2 linked regions of the Oreochromis niloticus genome follow. The protein of the gene in region 2 purifies or fractionates together with the protein of the main gene of each other region. This does not show direct contact. Links are inferred from orthologs where the notes say so. Each region holds a gene or a part of one and is shown on either strand. Other genes may lie near its edges. The genes, in order: tipin and timeless.

The links.
Region 1: the proteins of timeless (region 2) and tipin purify together in Homo sapiens (affinity purification with western blotting; 6 studies listed by BioGRID and IntAct, counting the BioPlex papers as one, with this or other methods). This does not show direct contact. The link is inferred for Oreochromis niloticus from reciprocal best matches to the Homo sapiens genes TIMELESS and TIPIN.

Annotation. Positions count from the first base shown.
Region 1 is NC_031965.2:3,355,296-3,367,832, forward strand, and holds the start of tipin (TIMELESS-interacting protein), read right to left. Parts: upstream 5,687-12,537; 5' UTR 5,552-5,686; intron 2,222-5,551; 5' UTR 2,210-2,221; coding exon 2,074-2,209; intron 1,583-2,073; coding exon 1,492-1,582; intron 471-1,491; coding exon 339-470; intron 1-338. Other genes in the region: lctla (lactase-like a), read right to left, coding at 10,556-10,671, 12,195-12,258, 12,343-12,537.
Region 2 is NC_031970.2:24,485,775-24,498,158, forward strand, and holds the start of timeless (protein timeless homolog), read right to left. Parts: upstream 4,556-12,384; 5' UTR 4,368-4,555; intron 3,299-4,367; 5' UTR 3,242-3,298; coding exon 3,157-3,241; intron 3,067-3,156; coding exon 2,913-3,066; intron 2,568-2,912; coding exon 2,453-2,567; intron 2,313-2,452; coding exon 2,250-2,312; intron 2,136-2,249; coding exon 2,034-2,135; intron 1,942-2,033; coding exon 1,786-1,941; intron 1,672-1,785; coding exon 1,538-1,671; intron 1,092-1,537; coding exon 1,004-1,091; intron 906-1,003; coding exon 729-905; intron 518-728; coding exon 300-517; intron 220-299; coding exon 116-219; intron 1-115. Other genes in the region: prph (peripherin), read right to left, coding at 6,127-6,198, 6,331-6,404, 6,944-6,990, 7,160-7,380, 7,506-7,631, 7,727-7,891, 8,657-8,752, 9,079-9,139 and 1 more. UniProt on the Homo sapiens protein: Plays an important role in the control of DNA replication, maintenance of replication fork stability, maintenance of genome stability throughout normal DNA replication, DNA repair and in the regulation of the circadian clock.

The sequences.
Region 1 (12,537 bases), on a different chromosome or scaffold from region 2:
TTTACCCATATTCTATCGCGATATTTCATTTTCTTATCGTTGCCTAACATTGTACCGGTATTATTGTGAACGGTATAATATGGCCCAGCCCTATTGCAAAGTTGCAATTAATTTGAATATTTTATAAAATGAAAATCTGTTTTTCTTTAATACAGCTTGCAAGTTTTATCCTAAATATAATCCACGTTCTTACTTAAAAGCTTATTTATCCTATGATTTAGTATGACTTAGTTCTGTCCAGTAATATTGTGAACAGAACAGTAACAAAGGAGTGCCACTGGGACACCCACTGGGAGACCCACTGGGAACGAGCCTGACTTATTGTTGGCATTACTAACCAGGTTGCCTGCAATCCAGCAGCACCAGCTCTGCTTTTCATGTGTGGCATAACCAGGGCATCCATCTTTCTCACACACATCCAGGGATGTCTCCAACGCTCTGACAATTTCCAGTCGGGGAATTTTCTCCATCCAAATGATGAAAACAACAATGGTATTAGAGTCTTTCTTCTTTAAATGACTGGCAGAGTGAAGATGCACCATCATCACACAGATGCAGTCATTTATATCCGCCGCTAAAGCGTAAGAAGACGCTGCAGTATTCTCCTAAACAACAGGTGTCACCACTCAGATAATATCACATCACTTTTTTGTGCAAAGTTCTTTCCACAAACTTAAGTTTTCAAACATTTGCAACATCTCCCTCTGTGTGTCAGTGTGTCTCTGAGCTTCTGTGCACGATTATTACTCAAATGGTGATAAAACCAGTGCGATCGTACACTCGTGTGTTCAACCCGGCCACATCGCAACGCACCAAGTTACAATCAAACCAAGAGATGCATGACCACAAAGATTGTGTTGCGTTACACAGGATGTGATGTGAAAATTGTCATCAGACACCGGCGACACAAACAACGCAGCAAGCTTAAAACATCCTGACGCTAACCCACTGATACTGTGCACACGTCAATCAATGATTTTGGCCTCCTTGTGTCCCAGCCAGCCCGTTCTCACTCCCGAGGCGTAACATGCTGACGTTTTGTCACGTCCCGCGGCGTTCCCGAGGAACGCGAAAGGAGACCTTCGGCGTTCTTATGGTACGCGGCGGGTTATGGCTGAAATCCAGTGCAATGACGCTCCCGCGGTAATAGACGTTCCAGCCCTGTATTCCAGCCCTAATCATAACCTTATTCCTGACCTTAACCAAGACTTTAATGACGTTAAATAGCGTGTTTCTAAGCGATTTGAAGAAAAAGAGCGAACATGTGTAGATTGAGTCCAGACGGTTCTCATATTTCCTCATTTTTCCGAGGTCGTCATTATGGTGGGTAGCCGAAAACGTAATATGTTGACGATTTGTCACCTAGCGTAAAATGTTACGCTTTGGGAGTGAGAACGTGTTGAGCTCACAAAAGATGGCATCAAATTCCTATTTAAATGCGCATTTTAATGCATTTCAACCATCTGTCGTAATATAAAATGTCTTTGCTACCTGTGGGAGTCCAGCTTGGGTTGGGGTCTCTTCACGCCTCTCCTTTTAGCAGTAGGGACATCAGCCAGCTGTGATACCTCACCTTCATCTCCTGCATTAAACAGAGCACATGACAACAGGATGTGTTTCTAACTCATTCTGTTGGCAGCATGGCAAACTTCAAGCTTATCTTTTAAATCCAGAAAAATTATAGATTGGAGGTTACAGAAGAAATGTGCTGGTTTGAACAGTATCTATCTGATAGATTTCATTTGCTCAAGCAAACAAAAACATGCATGTTGTTATTGTTAGAAACATCCAGTCTCAGAGTGATGCTGAAAAACCAGTTCATGCATTTGTTAATTCTAGGCTGAACTAACAAATTCATTATTATCAAGCTGTTCCAAAAAGCTTTGTGGAAGGACTAGAATGAGAGGTAATATTTCTCCCATATTAGCCTCTTTTTACTGATTCTTATTTTTCTATGTGATTCTTCATTAAACCATGAATTTAAAATCCTTCTCCTCACATACAAAGTGCTGAATTATCATGTCACATCTTAAAGACCTCATAGTAATCCTGTAAGAGCACAGCAGCATCTACCATCTGCAAAAGGGTCTCCTTCCTCCTGGGCTCCCCGGCCTGGGGAGTGTGGTGGTGGGAGTGGGGGGAAAGCTTCATCCTCTATGCCGTCATAGTCAGGAATGTCATGCGGGCTATTTTCCTGTTGGTCAAGCATGGTGAGTCGGTCCTGGAGACAAAGTAAAAGACGTGTGAGCCCCAGTCGTCAACAGCATCAGCATTCAGTTTAGATGAATTTAACTGCAATTTGAAAAAATGAATTACATTTATTTCTGTAACATTAATTCTTTACTGTGTTACAACATCAACATGAAACCTAAAAAACTGGCATTTACTTTTTTTACATCAACAGGAGGAGCTGTACAGACACTCATCCAACCTGGAATTATACCCCACATTCTGAAATGTACTATTATGATACATTATGTTTGTTTCACAGTTATATACATAATACAATTTATAGATTTGCATATATTTACATTCTATCAGGGATGCACTGGTTGTGAACTTTTGGGCTGATAATGACATTTAAGAGTTACAATTTGGATGAATTATTATTGTGATACTTTTTTTTTACAACTCTGTAGTATCACAGAAATATCATTAAAGTAACAGGTTTGTTTTAAAGTCTTTCAGCTGTTCGGTAAACTATTTTCATCATCATCATCATCATCGTTTATTTATATAGCACTTTAAAAACACACCTGGTAGACCAAAGTGCTGAACAATACAAATATAAATATAGTAATAAAATAGCAAAAACCAAACATAGCAATAAAGTAAACTATTTTGAGCCAAAATGATGTGACACAACACATAAATACCAGAAAAGAGAAAAGAACATCTTCTATATTGCTTTGCTGTTCACACAAATTCTAATGCTACCCTTTGTTTTTGGAAGCAGACAATTTTCTGTCCAGTATTAAAGTTCAAAAAACAGAGACTATACGTCTCCAATGGACTACTAAACAAGTTTACCAGAAAAATCAGACCCACGGTCATGTTGTGCCACTTTATTTGAGTGATTAGTCAGCAGTAATAACAGGGAATGACAAACTGACAGACTTTGTAGCACTCACCCCCATCATCACTAAGTGCTTAGAGCAGCTGGTCCTAGCACACTTCAAATCCTGTCTCCCCCCCACCCTGGACCCCCACCAATTTGCATACCGCCAGAACAGGAGCACAGAGGATGCAGTCTCCATCGCACTGCACTCTGTCCTCTCACACCTGGACAACAACAACACCTACGCCAGAATGCTGTTTATAGACTTCAGTTCAGCATTCAATACAATCCACCCCTCACAACTCATCAGGAAACTGACAGACCTGGGCATCAGTTCCCTCATCTGCAAATGGTTACTGGACTTCCTGACCAACCGCCCCCAACATGTCCAGCTGGATAACCGCTGCTCATCAACAATCACAATGAACACTGGTGTACCACAAGGCTGTGTGATGAGCCCTTTCCTCTACTCCCTCTTCACCCACGACTGCAGACCTGCTGATGGTTCCAACACCATCATTAAGTTTGCAGATGACACCACGGTGATTGGCCTCATCAATGACAACGATGAGGCCACCTACAGGGAGGAGGTGGATCGTCTGGCTGAGTGGTGCAACAGAAACAACCTGCTGCTTAACACTGAGAAGACCAAGGAGCTCATCGTGGACTACAGGAGGAATGCTGACCCACATCCACCCATCCACATTAAGGGGACGGCTGTGGAGCGTGTGAGCAGCTTCAAGTTCCTGGGTGTCCACATCTCCGAGGATCTCACCTGGACGACCAACTGCTCCAAGCTGGTCAAGAAGGCTCACCAGCGCCTCTTCTTCTTGAGGACTCTGAGGAAGAACCACCTGTCCTCAGACATCCTGGTGAACTTCTACCGCTGCACCATCGAGAGCATCCTGACCAACTGTATAACAGTCTGGTACGGGAACTGCTCTGCCTCGGACCGGAAGGCGTTGCAGAGGGTCGTGAAAACTGCTCAGCGCATCGCCGGAGCACCACTTCCTGCCATAAAGGACATCTACAGGAAGCGGTGTCTGAAAAGGGCTGGGAAAATCATCAAAGACCCCAGTCACCCATCACATGGACTCTTCACCCTCCTGCCCTCTGGGAGGCGCTACAGGAGCCTCCGGACTAAGACCACCAGGTACCGGAACAGCTTCTTCCCCACAGCTGTCAGACTCCTGAACTCTGCCTCCTGACATCTGACCCACGTTAAACTCATGGACTGAACATACACACACCCACAACCACCTACACCCACACACAATGGACAACTGTACCCTCAAACACACAATAATAACATGGACTGAACCACCACTCACAACCACTAGCACTTTATATAGCCTCTGTAGAAATGATCCACATATCTCACTTATCTTAACTGCACTACTGTATAATTCTGTGTAAATAATCATTCTGTACATACAATAAGTTTTAATCCTACAACTGTTTATGACTTGCATAGTTCACATTTCTGTATAACTGTACATCTCATATTTCTGTATAGTTTTTTTTATTTCATATTTATATCCTGATTATAGCCTGTACATAGCTTGTACTCACTACAGCCTGTACATACTTATAGTTATAGAATATTCATAACATACTTCATACCGTGTACATTATAACATACCATAATAGACCCATTTCTGTAATATACTTACATATCTATATTATTGCTAATATATATTGTAATATATCTATATCATGGCTAAAGCACTTCTGGATGGATGCAAACTGCATTTCATTGCCCTGTACCTGTGACATGTGCAATGACAATAAAGTTGAATTCTATTCTATAAAACAAACAAACAATTTAGACATTTAGAAGGTGAAACATCTTTTCAGCTTAATTCCTTTTGCTGTATATGTCTATGTATGTATTTGCTGTATAGTGTCATTTGTTTGGAACATTAATCTTGATGTATACATAAAAAATTGATTAAAAATGAACACTGACACAATGAAACACAACATGTGTGCACGGTGACTACAAACAGAAGCATAATGTTTGTGGACTGCTTGTATCCTCCTGTGGATACAAACCAGCAAGAACTCCTCAGATTTCTGTCATTTACCATTAATGAAGTTTGACTTTTATTAATAAATAGAGAGTACGAATATCGGGCCGATATCACTTCGTCTGTTAGGCCCTTAATGGGATCGTCCGTGAAGCGGACACATCAGTGGCTCACAGGCTTAGCCACAGGAAGGTGGCAAACTAAACAAGCTGCTGATCTGGCCCAAACCCAAAGAGCTCCCACACGACTCTGTAGGATGTCACGTTCAGACCAGCAGCAGCAGGACACCATTATGTGCACCGTTAACGTTAGCGGCTACAGTTTGGACAGAACCAAACTGAGAGACTTTGGGTAAGTTATGAATAATGTAAGCTAACTGCTGTCAGATGAAGGAACTCTAAAGTGTGATAAGTAAATGAAATAGCAGCTGTGTTTAAAATGAAAGGAAACTTTATTGTCATACCTGTTATGAGCAGTCGACAGAGAAACGCTACAACTTTTAACTTCAGCCTATAAGATGCGCCTTTTTTCCCTCCACAGGAACGAACGAACGTCTCCTTCTTCCTGGTTGTTTTTAGCGGTCAGCAAACAGCAAAATTGTGCATTAGCGCCACCAAATGGTAAAGATTGTCCACTGAAAAGTCAAATTCTGTCAAACAATTTTGCCTTAAAAATGAAATATGGCCTGATAACTTTCACCTCATGAGTGTTTTTACAGTAAGTCGATGAGTTTCAGTGTGCTGTCATTCTACTGAGATCATGGGTCAGTCATCTTCTCCTAACCGGTTATTTCTTACAATCTAACATAACATGTGTTTTCCAAAGTAATCACATTCCCCTTTTTTGTGTTTCCCTTTCATGAATAAATGGACTGCTTAAACCAGTGTGCCCAAATCTAAGCTTGTGTTTGTCATTTCTCCTACTTTAATTTTAATTTTAGAAACCTTCCTTTCTACTATTTCTACCACATTTCCATCTCTTCCCCCCCTTACTATGTTCTGTGTGATCCTGTCCATGACCCTGTACTTTTGCTAGAGAGAGAAGTTTTGGCAGCTCTTTTCTGATTTCTAATGACATTTTTCTGTGTCTACCAATAATGTTGCTGTTGGAGCTGTTTTAAATACACCTATCCAGAATCTTGCCTGATATTGAATACAGTTTCATTTCAGGAGAGCTGTGTCTGCTGCTGCATCATATACGACACATCTACAGTATAGCACAGATCTGATGAACCCACTTTCGACTAAACACTGAATTATATTTAATGCCTTCTTGCAATTTGTCTACTATTTTCTGAATAGCCCCTGTCACCCTTTCATCAAACCACAGTCCAAGAAATAGAATAATAAGAAAGGGCACACCATATTCCCTGGTGTTCCACTTTCCACCGAAAGTCTTTCAGAGTAACTTGTATTTGTCTATACAATAAATAAAATCCTTCATCATCTATAAATTCAACCATTGATAACAGTTTTCCTCATTTGTTTACTAGCCCCTCTCTAAACATCATGTCTTATATTTTTCTCATTTCATGTTCTAAACATTATGCTGGAACCACTTTGATATTCTATACAGTATGATCCTCTTTTATTTATAATATTCTCCATTATTTTGCAGATCTTGGATGTTAAAGCTCTGATTTGAGTACTCACAGCACTTTATATTCATCCATTCACACACATTTACCCAGTAAGTGCTTTCTATCTAACACTCACACACATAACCTGATAAACACATCAGAGAGCAACCTGGGGTTCAGTATTTTGTGGAAGGATACCTGGATGCTCTGCTTCCCCAGGTAGTCATTGGTCTAAATGATGGGCAGTTTCCCACACTCCCAAACTCTGTTAAATAATTCTAATAACACATTTTTTGATGACTCACTAAGAGTCAGAAAAGATTTCCTCTTCATCATATAACAAATCTGATCTTTTCCTGGTGCTGCTAGTTTGGATTCACAAAGTGCCCATTTCACTGAAAGTTATATTTAATAAATCATCAGACGCTTCTACTTGTTGTAATAAATGCTTGTTTTATATCATTGTAATTTCTGTCCTTTGTTGCTCTTGTTCACCAGAGTTGCTTTAACAAAAAGACATGTTTGTCTTTATCCTGTCTTCCTTCTCTCTCCCCAACCGGTCACAGCAGATGGCCCCGCCCCTCCCTGAGCCTGGTTCTGCTGGAGGTTTCTTCCTGTTAAAAGGGAGTTTTTCCTTCCCACTGTTGCCAAAGTGCTTGCTCATAGGGGGTCATATGATTGTTGGGTTTTTCTCTGCATGTATTATTGTAGGGTCTACCTTACAGTATAAAGCGCCTTGAGCCGACTGTTGTTGTGATTTGGTGCTGTATAAATAAAATTGAATTGAACTGAACTTAACTATGAATTTTAAAAAATAACCTTTTGCCAATGTTACCTTTTCATAATTTAAACCTAGATATTCATTACCTATAAATTTGCATTATATACAGAAGAATTTAAATCTTCAACATCAACATATTTTGCATTTCCTGATCACTACCTAATGTAAATGTTTCCTAATCAGCAGAACTGAAACACCCCGTCTGGTGTCACCTCTGTGTCATACTCCTCTACACTCAGCTCTGTGTTAAGTACCTGCTATGAACAAAAACTGGCCAGTGAATCTGAAACTAATGTGATTCCATAATTCCAGCTCTAGCATTTAACCTTTTACAGCTTATGTCATGCAGATGAATCCATTCATTCGTCAATAACTGCTCCATTCTGGACATTGTAATTCCATCTAACATGCTGCTTGCATCAAGTCCCCACATCAGATTACTTTTGCTTGTGAATGTCTGCCAAGTTCCTCCACTGATTGTGACGATCTGTCGCATGGGCTGTAAAGAGGAACTGCTCAAGATTTCAATTATAATGTGTTCTAAGTGTGTTGCTATCGGATCATTTGCTGCCCACCACAGTTACAACATTTATCTCGTACATTATCTTTAAATTCTTGGTGCAATTAGCACAGTACATTGATGTGTCCATGTTTTTGGCACCTGAGGGGTGAAGGGATATATGGCCTAAACGAAAAGCTTATGCAGCCTCCTGACATTCCAATCCGATATTCCAAAATTCCAAGTACAGATCTGATAACCTGTTTTTTTTTTTTTTTTTTTTTACAAACCTCACCACTGTTAACACTCTGTTACTGTTTTTCTAGATCCTACTGGAAAACCCGTCATCACTCCCTGCATTACTTTGGTTACATTTCTTTCAAATACTCCCAGCATGTAACACTATTTTTGTTTTTGCTGTCTGAACCACTATGAACTGAGAATTTTAGTCAGGTGCACCTCTCTGAACTTCCTTTTTAATTCCCTAGACAAACCAGGGGGCTTCACTGCATATTCTCATCTTACTTTCATTTCAGGGTAATTTAAAATTCCTCTTTTACCAGCTTTTGCCATACAATACATTTGTCCAAACTGTTCTCCACTAAACTCTGTTTACTGGTCTGTATAAGCTTTCTACTTTTTCTCCCTGCTTCATGAGTAAGTAGAGAAAACATTTCTTCAGAAAAAAAGTTACTTCTGTGGTATTTTATTATGAATGATTTCATGAAGCTTCGAATATTTTTGTGTGGCTGTATCTTAGGAGTTGGAGCAGGTTGTGTATTTGGAGATCATCTACTATTTGAAAAGTTGGCGGTTCAACAGCTGCTCCAGTCTACATGCCAAACTATCCCTGGCAAGATACTGAAACCAAAGTTGCTCTCTGATGCATTTATCAGCGTGTGAATGTTAGACAGGGTGAAGATAGAAAAGTCAGATAAAAAGCACTTATGCATAAAAAAGAGTGCATGTGTCAATGAAACGTTTTATAAAGCACTTTGAGTGCTTCAGTAGAAAAACACTACTGTATATAAGAACCAGTCTATTTACCATTTTCCACTAAAAACTGATTCCAGCTGCCTAAATCAATGTTATGCATCATCTGCCTGAGACACATTTATATTTCGGGCTCATCGGCACATATAAACATTTCTGTCCGTCTGTCGTTGACTCAGAGTTTGGGGTTTTCTGATGTTTTGGGGTATTTTTGGTTGTTCTTGGTTTAAAAGTTTCTGTATTCTGTTCAGTTGACATTCTGGCTTTCTTTTTCTGGTCTTGTGGTTACATTCTACTTATCTGTGTATTTAGTTAATTAGAGGTTTGTTATCCCTGTGTGTATTCCTACTCTGTTTCTTTATTTTGGTCTCCATGTTTTGGCTTCTGTCTGCATCAAGTTTGTGTGTCTCAGTTTCAGTCAGTTCCTGTTTTATTTCAGTGTCTGTTCCTCCCTGTATATTGTGTCTCCTTTACTTCCTCATTAGTCTTTATACACAGTATACCTAGCTGTGTTTCCACCTGTTTCCCATCCTCTTGTTATCCTGTGTTGGCCTCAGTGTTCCTTTCTTTGTTCTTTGTTGGGTCCTCCCTCACAGTATGTTATTCTTGTTGATTTTGATTTATGGAAGTCTCTCATATGATATGTCAGAGTGTAATTCAAATATCCGGCTCTCAGACCATTTTCTTTGTTAATGATTGATTTAGAATTTAATTTACTTTTGCAATATGTTTGTACAGCTGTGAATGAACTTCAACACATACAATAAAAATACATGATTACAGTGCAGGAACAGAAGGAAGCCTGAAAGCCTGTTCAGCCAGCAGGAGTCTCTGAAGTACAGCAGGTTGTTTTCTAGAGTTTTTTTTTTCCAATTCAAGTTTTGAAGTCATTACAAAATGATAAATAACTCATATTATTATTTTCAGCCCGTCCCTTTGGGGATTGCCACAGCAGATCATCTGCCTCCATCTTACCCTACACCGACAGAGTATGTCGTCCTTCGACATCCATGCATCTTCTCTGTGGTCTTCCTCTTCCATGGTAGCTTGATCGTTCAACATCCTAAGTCTTGTGTATCCACTTTTAAAGATGTCCATCTCAGCCCCAGTTTACTGGGTGGTAGCGCACTGGGCTCCTTTATTACATTTTTACATTGGTTGTTTTTCATAAGATAAAGTAATAACAAAGGAAATCAACCTAAATAATCACTCACCTTTGAATTCTTAAAAATATATTTAATTAAAGTTTCATGACCACAGCATGGACATCACCTTCTCCCCGTCAATCTTATTAGAAACTTATGGACAGTAAGCCAACACCTCTCTAAAATGAACTTGGGTAGCCAATAGAGAATACAGCTATTTCAAAAATCACACAGGGTCAGCTGATTAATGAAATAATCGTGCACAAATCTGGAATTCAGTCTCACATGGCGACAGACGTTTGCTTTTGGATTTTTCATGATGACCCCCAAACATTTCTTTTTCAAAGCAGCAGCAGGACAGTTAAATCAGCAATAAGCTTGAGACAGGATACAAGCTTACAGCATGGAAGCAAATCTTAGATTATTTTCTTTATCTGTGAGGCTCTTAATGATGTGACTGTGTGTACTTTTCAGAGGCGTCGACGCAGCAGGAACATGAAGAAAACCGCACTGATGAGGATGCAGAGTGTACACACAGTGGGAACCACGATCTCTGTTACCATCTCCATGTGGCCTATCAATGGATCTGCAACACGTACATGGAACCGAGAGTTAGTGTATCGCCATTTATTCAGCTCCAAATCACAACAACAGTCACCTCAAGGCGCTTCATATTGTAAGGTAGACCCTACAATAATACATAATACATTTAGAGCCCCAGCTTACTTATTTAAATTTTATCGTGTGCTATAAAAAATAAAAAATCAAATTTCCTTAGTGCAAAAGCACAACACTCTTTTAAGAAGATAATAAGATGGGATGCTATGGTGGTGAGGATCAGAAAAACCCTTTATATACTTCAGCATGAAACATATTATACCAGTTTTACAAAGAAAATGATAAAACACTAACAAATACCTAGAGTTACAAATAAAACTAAATATAAATGTAGAAATACGTGTTGAGTATGTTTATGGTGTGAAGCTCTGACTGTATTACTTTTGTCTATTTCTAATATGGGTTCATTCCTGCTGTAAGATGATTCTATTCGGCAACTTTTGCTTAATTTGTGTGACACGTTCTATTGTGGGGTTCACCACCATCTACACTCTAAAAATACCTACGAGGATATTCAGCATTGTTGTAACATTATGTTGTGCATGAGCTTGGTGGCTGACTAATCTGAACAAAAAACATACAAGGCAAAATGAAATACAAATAAAACAAATATTAATTGTAACATATGAAGTGTTATATAATGTTAGGAATGATTTATTTAATTAAGTCAAATGTGCGAGCAGGGCTTAAATTGAGCTGGAGGGATGTGGAACAGCATTCTGGCACCTTTAATTAATTTCGATCTAATAAACAGATTACTTCATTGTTTGTGTCCTGCTGGTATAGCAATATTTGCTGAGTAATAAAAAAAATCCTGATATCCTGTGGCAGGCTAACAACCTCAACACGCCTTTTTTCCCTTCTCATCCCTGTGATTTGTTTATGGTGCATGTAAGTAAAGCTGGCTGCAGTACAGCAGAAGAGGAGTGAGCATAAAGGGACAGAAGCTTTTTCAAGTAGCTCAAAATCCCAAACACACAACCAAACGCACAGTTTCTGAGCAGTTTGTTCCAAAATGTGTCTGCTCTCTAAAGGTGCAATCGCTGTGTTTCCCAGTGAGAGAAAAAGATGTTATTATGTAACAGTACTGGAGATGGAGAAAGAAAGACAGGGTTGAGAAATTATTTTCAAAGTTAGAGACCGCTTACCACATGAAATGTAAATTTAAAGCTTACATATAACACCCTCGCATATTCTAGAGCTCCTATCTGTACCTGATGTGTTATTGAAATGTGTTGGGACTCAGTAAAAGCTGGGAGAATCATATTAATCTCACACAGCATCAAAGTATGTACCTAAACTTCATCATGGATTGACCAAGCTTGTTCCATTCCTGCAAGTTCCTGATTTTCCTTTGACTTTCTTCTAGCTGGAGGGGCAAAACAAAGAAAAACCCTGTTAGATAAGAGAAAAACAAGCTTCAGACTGAATTTTCCTTTGTTTGGCCCCACCAAGCTTTTTACAGCCCACGCACTACTTCATCATACTAACCTGCAGCCAGCAGCTGGTTACTGGAGGAGCAAGTCTCTACAGCTTTCCTCTTCCAACTTTCAACCTGTAAAGCCCAAACAAGCCCTTTTTTAATCATAGTGTCTTCACCTCCATGGGGGACTTTTAGCGTGAAGTGTGTAGCATTTACCTCTCTCTGATTGGGAAAGCCATTTGAGCTGATAATGCGTTTGTAGTAGTGGACAGAAGCTTTTGGGTAGCGTGGCTTATTTTTGTTCCTGAAGTCGACGTAGTAGAGCCCAAACCTCTCAGAGAATCCTTCATCCCACTCAAAGCTGTCGAGGAGAGACCAGGCTGTGTACCCCTTCACATTGACCCCATCTTT
Region 2 (12,384 bases):
CATGACATTCATGCCCAAACGTCTGATCACAACTATACATATGCTAGAAGACCATGTGAAAAACTGTTCACCTTGAACAAAAGTTATATATAAACTTTTAAACCTACAATCTTACTTTTAATGACGCTGGAACTCTGCCGGATGCTTTCATCCTCCGATCTGTCCATCTCATTCACAGTTAGCAGCAGTTCTTGATATGCCTTTAATGCCAAGTGCATCCTAAAAAGAACAAATCGCAGCAGTGTTGGGCCAACTCAAGTATTCGATTCCATTAACCAGCTTCTAAATGATCGCCTTACCTGCGGGACCAAGAAGTGGCCTCTTTGCGGTCTGTGAGCAGCATCTCATAGTAGTTGGTAATGTTACGCTCAATAAAATGAAACGCCCGGATTGACATGGTCTCAGAAACTAGGTCGGCACGGAAACAACTGCCTCTGTTGAAAGCCATGAAAAAGCTGAGTGCCCACAGGTAATAGGTCTCATCATGTTGCTGAGTCTGCTCACGAATGAGACTTTCCTGTTGAGAAGACAAAGAAAAACAAAAATCTGGTGAAAACAAAAAACATTAGATGCCCTTTTTGGATGTTTTCTATGGTTTTAAATGTCGAGGTTAGAAGCATCTTCCTGTTCACAAAACAAGCATTTTAATAATTTAGCTGAGAAAAACTTGTGTTCAGCATATCACTGTACATCTATACAAAAAAATAAGACACGTAACAGCGGCCGACCTTAACGAGGTACATGAGTCGATTGTAGCAGTTCTCCAAGAAGTCCACACAAAACTCTCGCAGGAAAAGTCGAACATTTAAGGCCGAACGTCGTTTTTCCCCACTTTCTTGGGCCTTTCGATGCCTCTTGGGAACACGTCTCACTGCTTTGCCAATGTCGTGAGTGTAATCTTTAAACTTAAAAAAATAAATAAATAAATAAAACAGAATAAATTATTTTTTCTTAACACGATCACTTAATGGAAAGACTTCTTAATGGAAATTGAACAGCTCACATTCTGAAGGTTCCTGTGATAGATCACATCTTTGTCCCCTATTGCCTTCAGTCCTTGAACAACAAAAGACCCTCCAAAGCGAGAGTGTCTAAGAGGAAAACAACAGCATATACATTGTGTCTCAGTACTGAGGATGCTATAGCGCTTTTGGGAACATTTTTGCAAGCATATAATGACATTTATCCATCCATCTACGCTAATTCTAAGCCAACTTGTTGCAACTCCACCATGTGTGTTAATGCTCTGCTGACTTTTGCCATGAAACTATTTTTTTTACTGCAACTCTTCTGTAGATGCACCTCACCCAGAGGTATTCCTAGTTCACAGATACTTCTAATATAATACACATTATTGTGAACAGTCCAGAATTGCAGGAAGGAAGTGATTTTGACTGAGAAGTTCAGAGGTTCGAGTTGGAACCCTTGCTTACCCAGGACCTCCCACACACCACCACTTGAAAATCTATGTGTACTTAAACTCTTCTGTAATTGGCAACGGTAAACTTGGCACTAAAGAACATCTGTGTGTCTGCACCTGGTCCCTCTCTGTAAAGTGCGAGAATGTTTCTCTGCATGCTCCTTCTGCCTCAGTGCCTCCAGCTCATTAGAGTCCTTCTTCTTCTCTTCTGCTGAACGAGCATGGCCGGCACTCACCAAAGCTTCTGGAGTCTGTAAAGAAAGAAAACAACAACAACAACAACAACAACAACAACAAAACCCACTGAAACAGAGAAAGCTAGAAAATTTAGATGTGCACTCCCAAAATGGATTTTTCTGTCTAACCTGGTCTCTGAACATAAGGGAGATGATTTCCAACACATGCATACTCCACTGCTGCTCACTCTGTGCTGAGGCCAGGAACTTGATCAGGTCATCAAAGCCGCTCATGTGAATGGCCCACAGCACTCGATCATGGACACTGGCGTCATCATCCACTTTCTGCAAATAAGGGATAAAAAGAGAGAGATTAGGGATGGGAAGAACTTGCAAAGCACTTATATGGAATCAGCATAATGTTTTTTAAGTCAAACCTTCTCTTCACTGGGGTCCGCAGGTACATGAAGCACATTTCTAACCAGCAGCAAAATCCTCTCTATCAGCAGGTTATCTTCTTCCTGTCTCTGCTCCCAGTCCTGAGTGACCAAAGGTGAGGATGCAGACAGAAACACATGAAGAATCAGAAGCATTTTTACTCCGAGTGGAAACGGTTCAATGAAAACAAAAATCTGAACAAGTGAAATACTCACAAGTTGTAGAAGGTTGTACAATGTCTCACTCAAGATACAAAACACACTCTCACTGGCAAATGCCTGAAAATGAAAGATAATGATACAGTGGCAACAGTGATACTTTTATGGTGAGCTATAAAAACATGGGCTGCAAATATTTTGTTTGTAATTACATAAAAAACACTTTTTATAAAATCCTTGCGTTATTGCTGTTCAAATACCTCCTTATAAGCCTGCAAATGAGACGTCACTTGCAAAAAGTGATGCCTGAACACCGGGTCATCTGGGACTTTACCAAAACAGAGCATGGCAGGCTGCGTGAGGTTGACCATGAGTCTAGAAAAAAAAAAAAAAAAAAGAAAAAAAAAAGAGAGATTTTAAGTAACAGATTTTTTTTTAAACCAACTTGTATCGACAGAGAATCAAATTTATTACTTTTCTAACAATGATCTGTCACCATAGTAACACATGTTACACGAATTGTATTATAGGACAGTATTACTATTTTTATTTGTCACTGTCACTTGCCTATCAATCAATCTTTACTCCAGAATCACAAAACATATCACATAACACAAAAATAAGATAAAAAATATACCCAAATAACCTTCACTAAAATACAGATAAGCATATTTATATATACACATATATTTTATAGATGAGACTTCTCAGGATTCGTACCTGATGCAGGCATCAAATAAGGCTTTGTCCTGTCTGTGCTGAATGATAATAGGCAGAAGGTCATTCTGTACAATCTGGCTTTCACCCAACTGCTGCCGGACATCACGGGCGTCATCTTCATGGCGTAAATAGCGAATCAAGTCTTTCACACTCTCTGTGACATAGAGACCGGGCAGCTGTGAGAGGACTGTTCTGGATCAAAACAACAACTACATATACATATTTACACTTCAAATGGACTCACCTAAGCAATCAGCCTCCTTGTGATAGGTGTCTCCCTCCAGATAACCTAGAGCACTGCACGTTGCCAAAAGTTCACAGTTCATCATGAATAAGTCCACACACCATCAGGGTGCCTTGAAGTCCAGGGGATCAGTGTAAGTGACCTAAAATTGTCAGAATAATCACAAAAAGCTTAAGCTGAAATAATTACTCCTTACAAACAAGGTTAGCAAAAGAGTGTCTCAAACGTGTCCTTGAAGTAGATGGCCTACAGCAGCAGAGGACCACACTTTGTGCCACTACTGTCAACTAGGAAAAGGAAACTGGAGCTACAATTACCACAAGCTCACCAAAATTGGGCAACAGAAGACCTGAAAATGGTACCTGGTCTGACGAGCCTCAATTTCTGCTGCGACATTCAGACAGTAGGGTCATAATTTGGTGAAAACAACATGAAAACGTGGTTCAGGCTGCTGCTGGTGGTGTAATAGTGTAGAGGACATTTCCTTGGTATGCTTTGGACCCTTTAGTACAAACTGAGCATTGTTTAAACAACACAGCCAACGAAGTTATTGCTACTGACCATACCTACAGTGAACCCATCTTCTGATGGATGATTACAAGCAGGATAACATCATGTCATAACGCTCAAACTATCTTTAACTAGTTTCTTAAACATGACACTGAGTTCACTGTCCTGAATCCAACACAGCATCTTTAGGTTGTGGTGAAACAGGAGATTCTCATCGTGGATGTAGTGCCACCAAATCTGCAGCAAATGTATGATGCTGTCATGTCAAAAAGGACCAAAATCTCTGTGTAATGTTTCCAGCAGCTTGTTGAATCTATGAATTAAGCTGTTCTGAAGGCAAACGAAGGTCCAACCAGGTACCAGCAATGAGTACCTAATAAATAAAGCGACAAATTTTTCCATATACTTCCTCAGCTGTGCTTGACTTGATGACCAACCTTGTTAAGTGTGTGTCGTTACAAACTGAGTGCACTCTAGCTTTACTACAATTACTACTATTTATTTACAGGACCTGCTGAAGAAACCTGACTTATGTTATTGATGGCATATTTAGAGCTGTATGCTATATACTTATAATACTACTATGCTACTATTTCTGCTAAGACTGCAGTCTTCCTTCTGATCGGTAATCTTGTGTCAGAGCAGCTACCTTAGGTTTTACGTTTCATACAGTATAAATAAAGTAGAAACAACTTACTTACCTTCTAGGTCGTCCAAATGTTGTTTCAGTCGCTCCTTTTAAACAACCTCCAGCGCATTTGGCGACAGTCTTTTCTAACAATATACGGCTGTTTTCCACTTGCAGTCACACAACTGCGACAAACCGGACAAGTCTCGCGCCAAGACCGCGAGCGAAAATTCTGGAGGCGGATGTAGAATGTCGTCACGACTTGAATTGTCTGCGCCCTGATTTCTGCCTTTCAGGTAGCGCCTTTTTAAGTTGGGGACTGAAAAAAGAATGTACAGCACTGACATGGCTGTGATAAGTTTAATTGAAGAAGCTTAATACAGAGATTTGAGCCAGCAGGATTCAAGTATGGCGGAAGCAAAGTTCGCGAAATGTGTGGAAAACCGCTGCAGTCTGCGATGAAGGTTCGTCTGGGAGGTGTCACTCAGGGAAAAAGAGATAGTTATAACAAAGGGTCCTATGTGATGGATAAGACCGTGTGCAAAAATGCTAAGCGTTGCATTAACTTAAGAAATTCTGTTGGAAAACCAGATTCAGTAACCCGCGATTGAGACCAGAGAGAATAGAAACAACATAAAGGTACAGGCAACAGGCAACCTCCCTCATAAGGCCTAAATTACTACAACAGGATTTTTACCTGTCTTATTAAAAACAAAAAACAAAAAAACAAAACAAAACAAAAACAAACATCTGTTCAGAACTCAGCTGTCTGGCTTTTAACGAGAACAAAAGAATCCCACTGTGGCCTTTTTTACACTGGCTCCCATTATGTATTAGAATTTATTTTAAGCTGTCATTGACTAATACCTTTGTGGTCTTGCTCCCAGCTACACCTCAGCTCTCTTACTACCCGATTCACCAGTACATACTAAAAGTAGCCAGATTGATCCACATATCGATATCATGGATGCCAAATATTGGTATCGGAACTAATAGCGTAATAGGATCGATCGTTTGCATCTATCCTCTAATTTTATTATGCAACCCACTTCACACGTGAAAATTGCAAAGTGCAGGTTATGGAATGATTACATTCATGGATGGACACACAACAACAACACTGATTTGCATGGATGGCGTTTATTTTCACGGATGACTTTTATTCTCACATACATGTTCTTTCCTCGGTTGTGCCAGATACACACGGCATTGCAAAGCAAAATCAGTAAAGTTTCATATTTTCACTGTCAGAATTTCCTATTGTATTTACTAATAATCCATGTCTTTGGTGAATGGTGATTTGCACAGTAAGAGGACAGCAAAGCTTCTAAAACAAATGCAGACATCTTGATTTGTTCTCAGTCGGTTTGTAAGGTTTGTTGGCCAAAGGGCAGTGTCAAGCAGTTTGTTAGTAAGGCATTCATATATAGAGAGAGATATTTATATAACACAAACAACTAAAATGCTGTACATAAATGACGTAGTTTAGGGTGTGGTTTAATACTCTGCTACAAATGTGAGATCATCTTAGGATTGCACTGTAAACCAAGGCCTCTGCGGTTCGTTTATAAAGGGGTTTTACTGCTACAGAAAGCAAAAGTGTTTAGCAAAAAGTTGGGTGGTTTAAATAGCACCAGATTGACACTGTCTAAAGGAATTCATCCATGGTTGCACCTATGCTGAGAGACAATTTGCTAAACAGTGAAACTCTTAACTAGTGAGAACGAGAACTACAGTGTACAGATCGGAGTTTGTTTTTCTATTTTTCATCAACATTTTCAGTTTTGTTTCTATCATGGCACTGGCCTTCATATTATGTAATGAGTTTCTGTCTACTCATCCATGTCATCCTTGTCAATTGCACCAGAATCTCTATCTTTCTCCCTCCTGGATTCCTTCAGCACCTAAAGAGGAACATAATATCCAGGTTAGTATAACTTTTCTACGTGATGCATACTAATATTGTCGTTGTGTTACTTGCCAGTGATCAGGGTTGTGATCTTTGGTAAGCAACATTTTTCTATAAATCACCTTACCTCGCCATCTCTAGTCTCCACTGTCTTTATCACGACAGTCCTCTTGCCCATGCTATCCGGAGCTTTTTCATAGTCTGCAAAAAGGTTCCGTTAAAATGCTGCTTAGATTTTAACATTTAGATATATGTGCACTCACAAAAAGACAAGTTTTACTTTTGAGAGATTTATTAGAAAAGTTGAATCATCTTGATGAATGACTGAAAGAGTTTGTTACTGGACAGTGATAAGAGGCAAAGTTCTGGGATTCTAGGCCCCCTTTGTCCTAGAAGTAAAAGAACCCATTGTTTTAAATGAGAATCCTAGATTACTTTTACATCTGCCTCCGGCATGAGCCCCTCCTGTTAGAATAATCAGTAAAAAGATGAACTTTTCTTTTGGAAAATGTTTTCTGTGATAAAAGAAGTCACAACACATTTTTATTTCATTACAATTTGTGCCAGTGATTAAGCCAAAGAGAGCAGCTCAGAAACAAAATGGGAATTCTGAAAACTTTTAAAGTTTCCATGCTGAAGAAAATGAAGAGCAATCAAATGGTTACAGCTTTAATGCCAAGGTGTGAGAGAATTTAATCTTATATTTGACTGTGAAAAAAAAAACAACAACTGTAGCTTACCTCCAAGGTGATTGCTCATGCCAATATTGAGGATGGGAACAGAAATCCTAAACAGAAAAATAACATGAAGGTGTTACAACATGTAATAAAAAGCTAATTGCTTTGTTGCACTTGAGTTGTAACATTATCTGGGGCTAAGCTTTGAAGAAACAGATGATACTGATACTGATCATGTTGTTACTAGTGAAGACATGGACGCAGCATGTTCTCGCTTACCTGCTCTCCTCCCCCTCCAGCAGTTTGCGGTAAGTGGCAATCTCAATGTCCAGAGCCATCTTGACATTGAGGAGATCCTGGTACTCGCGAAGGTGGCGAGCCATTTCCTCCTTCAGGTGGCGGATCTCATCCTCCAGCCTGCCTATATTATCTTGGTAGTTGGCTGCCTCATTGCCAAATTGGTCCTCTATTTCACGCATCTGCCTCAGCAGAGCTTCATTCTGAGAAAACAAAAACCCCACATTTGGACATCAGACTTTAGACGGCTATCCAAAAACATCTTGACTGCTGATACTTGTGTATAGTACATTATGATAGACTAATGACATCTGGTACTCCAGCTTACCGTGTTCTTCAGTGCATCAATTTCACAGTTAAGAGACTGAATCTGCCTCCTGGACTCGTTGGCCTCCTGCTTGGCCTGCCTCAGAGCATCATTGTTGCGCTTTGCAGACTCAGTCAGATCAGCAAACTGCAAAAAGCAAAAGATGAAGTACACATAAAAAAACACCAAATACTTATATACTTGTGTGTGGCCCGTCATTGTGTGTCTTTCTCTCTGCCTACCTTGGACTTGTACCATTCCTCAGATTCTTGCATATTCTTTAAGGCAATGGTTTCATATTGGGCTCTGATTTCCCTCAGAGCACCAGTTAGATCAGGCCTGGAGCTGCTGTCCACCTCCATCTTCAGCTGCTGGGTCTGGACGCTCACTTGTACATCCTGGATTTCCTGATGACGAATAAAAGCACATAAAAATTGTGAAAACCATTTTCCTTCTGCAAAGATGCTTTTCACATTCTCAGTGAGAAACATCTGTGTCCATACAATAGTTCCTCCGGAGGCTGGGTCTCATCAATAATGGCTAACTCTCAAGCTTTAGCAAACACTAACAGGAACGTCTCTTACAAATCCTTGCATATCCAAGCCTGGAGTGTATTTGCTCCCCCCCCCCCCCCCCCCTTTACCAGCTCTCTGCATCTGTGCTCCAAATACTTTAGTGCCTGATCTGTTATCGCTCCCATTTCCCTCAACCGGTTACAGCATATGGCTGCCCCTCCTTTAATCTGGTTCTTCCAGAGGTTTCTTTCCTGTTAAAAGGGAGTTTTTCCTTCCTACTGTCACCAAGTGCTTGCTCAAAGGGGGTTGTTGGATTTTCTCTGTATTACTGTAGGGTCTCTACCTTCTAATGCCTTGAGGCATCTAATGTTGTGAGTTGGAGCTATATAAATAAAATTGAATTTAATTGTTTAGTGTTATACTCACTAAATAGTCAGTTAATCTGATTATGATGATTTAAATGCTAATTAAATCATCATAATCAGATTAAATGATTTAAATGACATTAAATCACAGAGGATTTACGTATTTGGAAAGAATGTTACGATTTTAGATCTCCAGAAAATATTCTGTACTTTGATAAGTGAACCCTGAAAGAAAGAAGGTTCACATTTTTACAAACAAAGAGAAGTGGGATGCAGTGATAGGACCACTTACCTCATCATGGATTTTCTTTAGGAATTCAATCTCATCCATCAGAGACTCAATCTTCCTCTCCAACTCCAGACGAGACAGTGTGGCATCATCCACATCCTACAAAACAATGTAAAAGGAAATCATCAGATAGGATACGGCAGACATAAATAAAATGCAATAGAAAACATTCAGTGTATGTGTGTTTCAATTGTACAAACATCTGCACCCTTAGAGGATACAATTTTTATATAAAAACATGCATTAACTAAAAAATGTACACAGGCTCCTGTGTGCACTGGTCTGGATCAATGCCATTTTAGGAATCTGCCCTGTCATATTACTGTGGCAGTATTACATAAGTATTGGAGGTGGAACAAAGCTGTCCATTGTGACCTGAAAGGGGACACTGTAATCAGTCACGGTCCACTGAGCCTGTTGTTTACCTTGCGGAAGGCAGCTAGGTTATTCTCAGCATCTGCCCTCTTCTGGGCTTCTTCATCCAACCTAAGAACAAAATGCAATATTTTCAGTAATGATCGATGACAGTCAAAAATCTCCTTTATAAAAAGGCACGGGAGAAGAACAGGTGGACTATTTTTTCCCCCCAAGAATACTGTCTGAGTCAAAGGTTGCAGCAGGGCATCAGCTGGCAAAAAGCTTTCTGGATCAATTTGTTAATTTGTTGTGTCGTAAAAAGGATTTTTGGGAGTGCGCCCACTGGGATCAGCTGCTCTTCCTCTCGGCTAATGTGGCGTCTCTGCAGTTTAATAAGGTCATGCACTCAGAAGGGTTATGTACACACACACTTATAATTTTTTAACATATTTTTAAATCATTACACTAGTGAAGCTAGTTTACAGTGATAAAAAATTAAAGAGAATTTGCGTGATATCAGAAAATATTTAAATGAATTATAGGTTTCTGCTTATTCATTGGATTTCTTGTCAAACGTGTTAAAGTTTTAAAGTCCTTGATCTAAATGCAGAACATCTAAGTTTGCTTCTGCTAGCTTCTTCTGGGCTGTCAGTGTCTGGATGTGCAGGTGAAGGCAGGCCCATCTGTTATGTCAGACAGAGGTTTTACCCGGGCTGGACATAAAGTAGATTAGTGGGTCCTGCTGCCTCATCTTTAATTCATGTCGTGTTACACAGGGCCTTTTGTCCTAATGGGCTCTCTGGCACCATCCCATCAGCACACAGAGGGACACTGAAAATACACCTAATGGAGTCATTGGGTCACATTGATTTTTCCTGACGCTATCCTCACCACGCCTGACACCCAACCTCTCTTCCTCTGGTCCCATTTCCCCTCTCTCTTTCCTCGCTGGTCCTCACCAGCCCCTCCCTGTGTCCGATTTCTCCATCCTTCTCCTCGCTCCTCTTGTCTTCCTGTCTGCATGAATTCTAATGTGCATTTGTAAAGCACTGCACAGATTTGGCAGTCAAGAAAACAATTTACTGTCAGTCATGTCATGAAATTATTTGGCATCAATTACAGTGTCACAGATTTTTTTTTTTTCCTTTGGTCTCTTTGCTTTTGTTAATAGACATTTTTCACCTTACCTTTAGTTACTCAGTCTTTCAAGACATTTATATATAGCCAGATATGATTTGCACACATGATACGATGCAGCCTCCTGTGTCCTCTGTATCATGCTGCTGCTTTTGTGCCACGCCCAACCTCACCCTTTACACGAGTCAAGTAGCAGCGCAGCAGATTCTCTGTCTCCTCTTTGCTTAAAATGGGAGGAAAGAAAAGTAGATAATCTTATCTATCTATCTATCTGTCTGTCTATCTGTCTGTCTGTCACCTTGGTACCAACCTTTGCTTGAGTAGGGTCAAGTCTTCTGCCAGGTTATCCCTCTCCAGCTGGTATTGGTCCCTCTCTTTGCCGATAGCATCCATCTGGCGCCGCAGCTCCCTCAGCTCCTCCTGGAAGAGCTCAGATGCACGGTTGGGCTGCCCGTGCTGCTGCTGGCCCTTGAACTGGTTGAGCTCCTGCTGCAATGCACCATTCTGCTGTTCCAGGTATCGCACCTTCTCAATGAAGCTGGCAAAGCGGTCGTTGAGCTCCTGCAGCTCGGCCTTCTCATTGCTGCGGGTGGTGAGGAACTCCTGGTTGATGGCTTCGGCCAGAGTGAAGTCCACCTTGTCATAGGAGAGGCGAGGGGGCTGGGGGCTAGGGCGGGAACGCTGTTGGTGGAAGGCGGTGGATCGGGATGTCACCACAGGTGACATCGAACGCATGTAGCGTCCCGAAGAAACAGGCATTCGAGAGGACACGGGGGTGTAAGAGGACAACGAAATGGAGTGTGGGCTTCCGAAGGTGCGCCTGTAGGAGGTATGCACTGAAGAATGGCTCATGGTTGGGCTGGTTCTGCTCTCTGCCGCTGAGGATAGGTGTAGTGATGTAGGCTTCAAGAAGCTTGTGAAGCAACAGGACATCAGACTGAAGAGCTCTGAGGGTTTTTATGCACCCAGGCTAGTTGCCCTATGAGCATCACACCTCCCCCCTCGCCCATTTTCCTCACCCCACCCACATGATGCCTTCCTTACTCAATCAGTCATCAGCACACCAGCTTTGACCACTCCCTACCCTTCAGAGCCAGACTCTGCCTCTTTCTGTACTGTCACCAATCCTCTGCCTTGCTCTCTGTCTCGACGGTACCATCCTTTTAACCAGAGCATTTGGCAGAGAGCCACTCCAGCTTCCACAACACTACTTTAAAAACTAAGGTCTCCTCACTCCCTCCCTCCTTCCCTCTCTGATTTTTGCACTCGCTGACATCTTGAACTTGTGTTTTCTTTGTCAGTTTTAATTTCTTATATCTTACATATAAGTGATTTTACTCTTGCATAAACTTCTACAATTCTCATAACAGTGCCAGCTGAGGATTTTGTTACCCGGTTCTCAATATAAGAAAATGTGAAATTCTATTCTTAATTGAATCACCTAGGTACATTGATCTGATTCTTTCCTTTCCATTTGTCTCCCTGCCTCTCTCCTCTTTGTCTCTCTCTCCTTTTATAGTAATGGGATACTTTATTGATATTCTGGGCGTCTGGGACAGAGCCATGACTCTGCAGTTATTCCATCCATTTGAAATGCACTAAACCCAGTAATCCATGTTTGAGTAGGAGTTGTCAGAAAACTCTGTAATTCTGGTCACTGGTGGATTTTTCAGTCCGGGTAATCCAACTTGTAAGTTCATAGAAACACTGGTCATGCAGATGGAACAGGTGACATACAGTGACTTTTGTTACAAACTCACAGAGTCTGTGATTTACCAAGAACAAATGATTTCTATTGTACTCTAATGCACCAAGCCAATAAAGTGCAGTTTCCCAGAAAATGAATTCTTCTCTTTACATTTGCTGTTTTTCCTCCAGGTGCAGACATAAAAATAAGCTACAATAGAACAACTATGTGTTGCAAGTATAAAGTGTAATTGCAAGGTTGCAAACTAAAAAGTCATGATGTCCCACTGTGCCATTTAAGAATATTAGCTCAAACTGTGAAATCTAAGTTATAATTGAGGATTACATGATAAGCACACAGCACTGCAACAACTATCAAAAGTATGACTCAGTCTGGTGTAAATATTAAGCATTAATAGAAGATTTGAGGCAATGCCTTCAGATCTCTCAGCAGTCTCTGTGTGTGTGCCTGTTTGTGTAAAGTAATTTTAACCAAGGTCTGCAGACAGTCCAGCATAAAGTTGATGTAATACAGAGCATGCTCTGTGTCA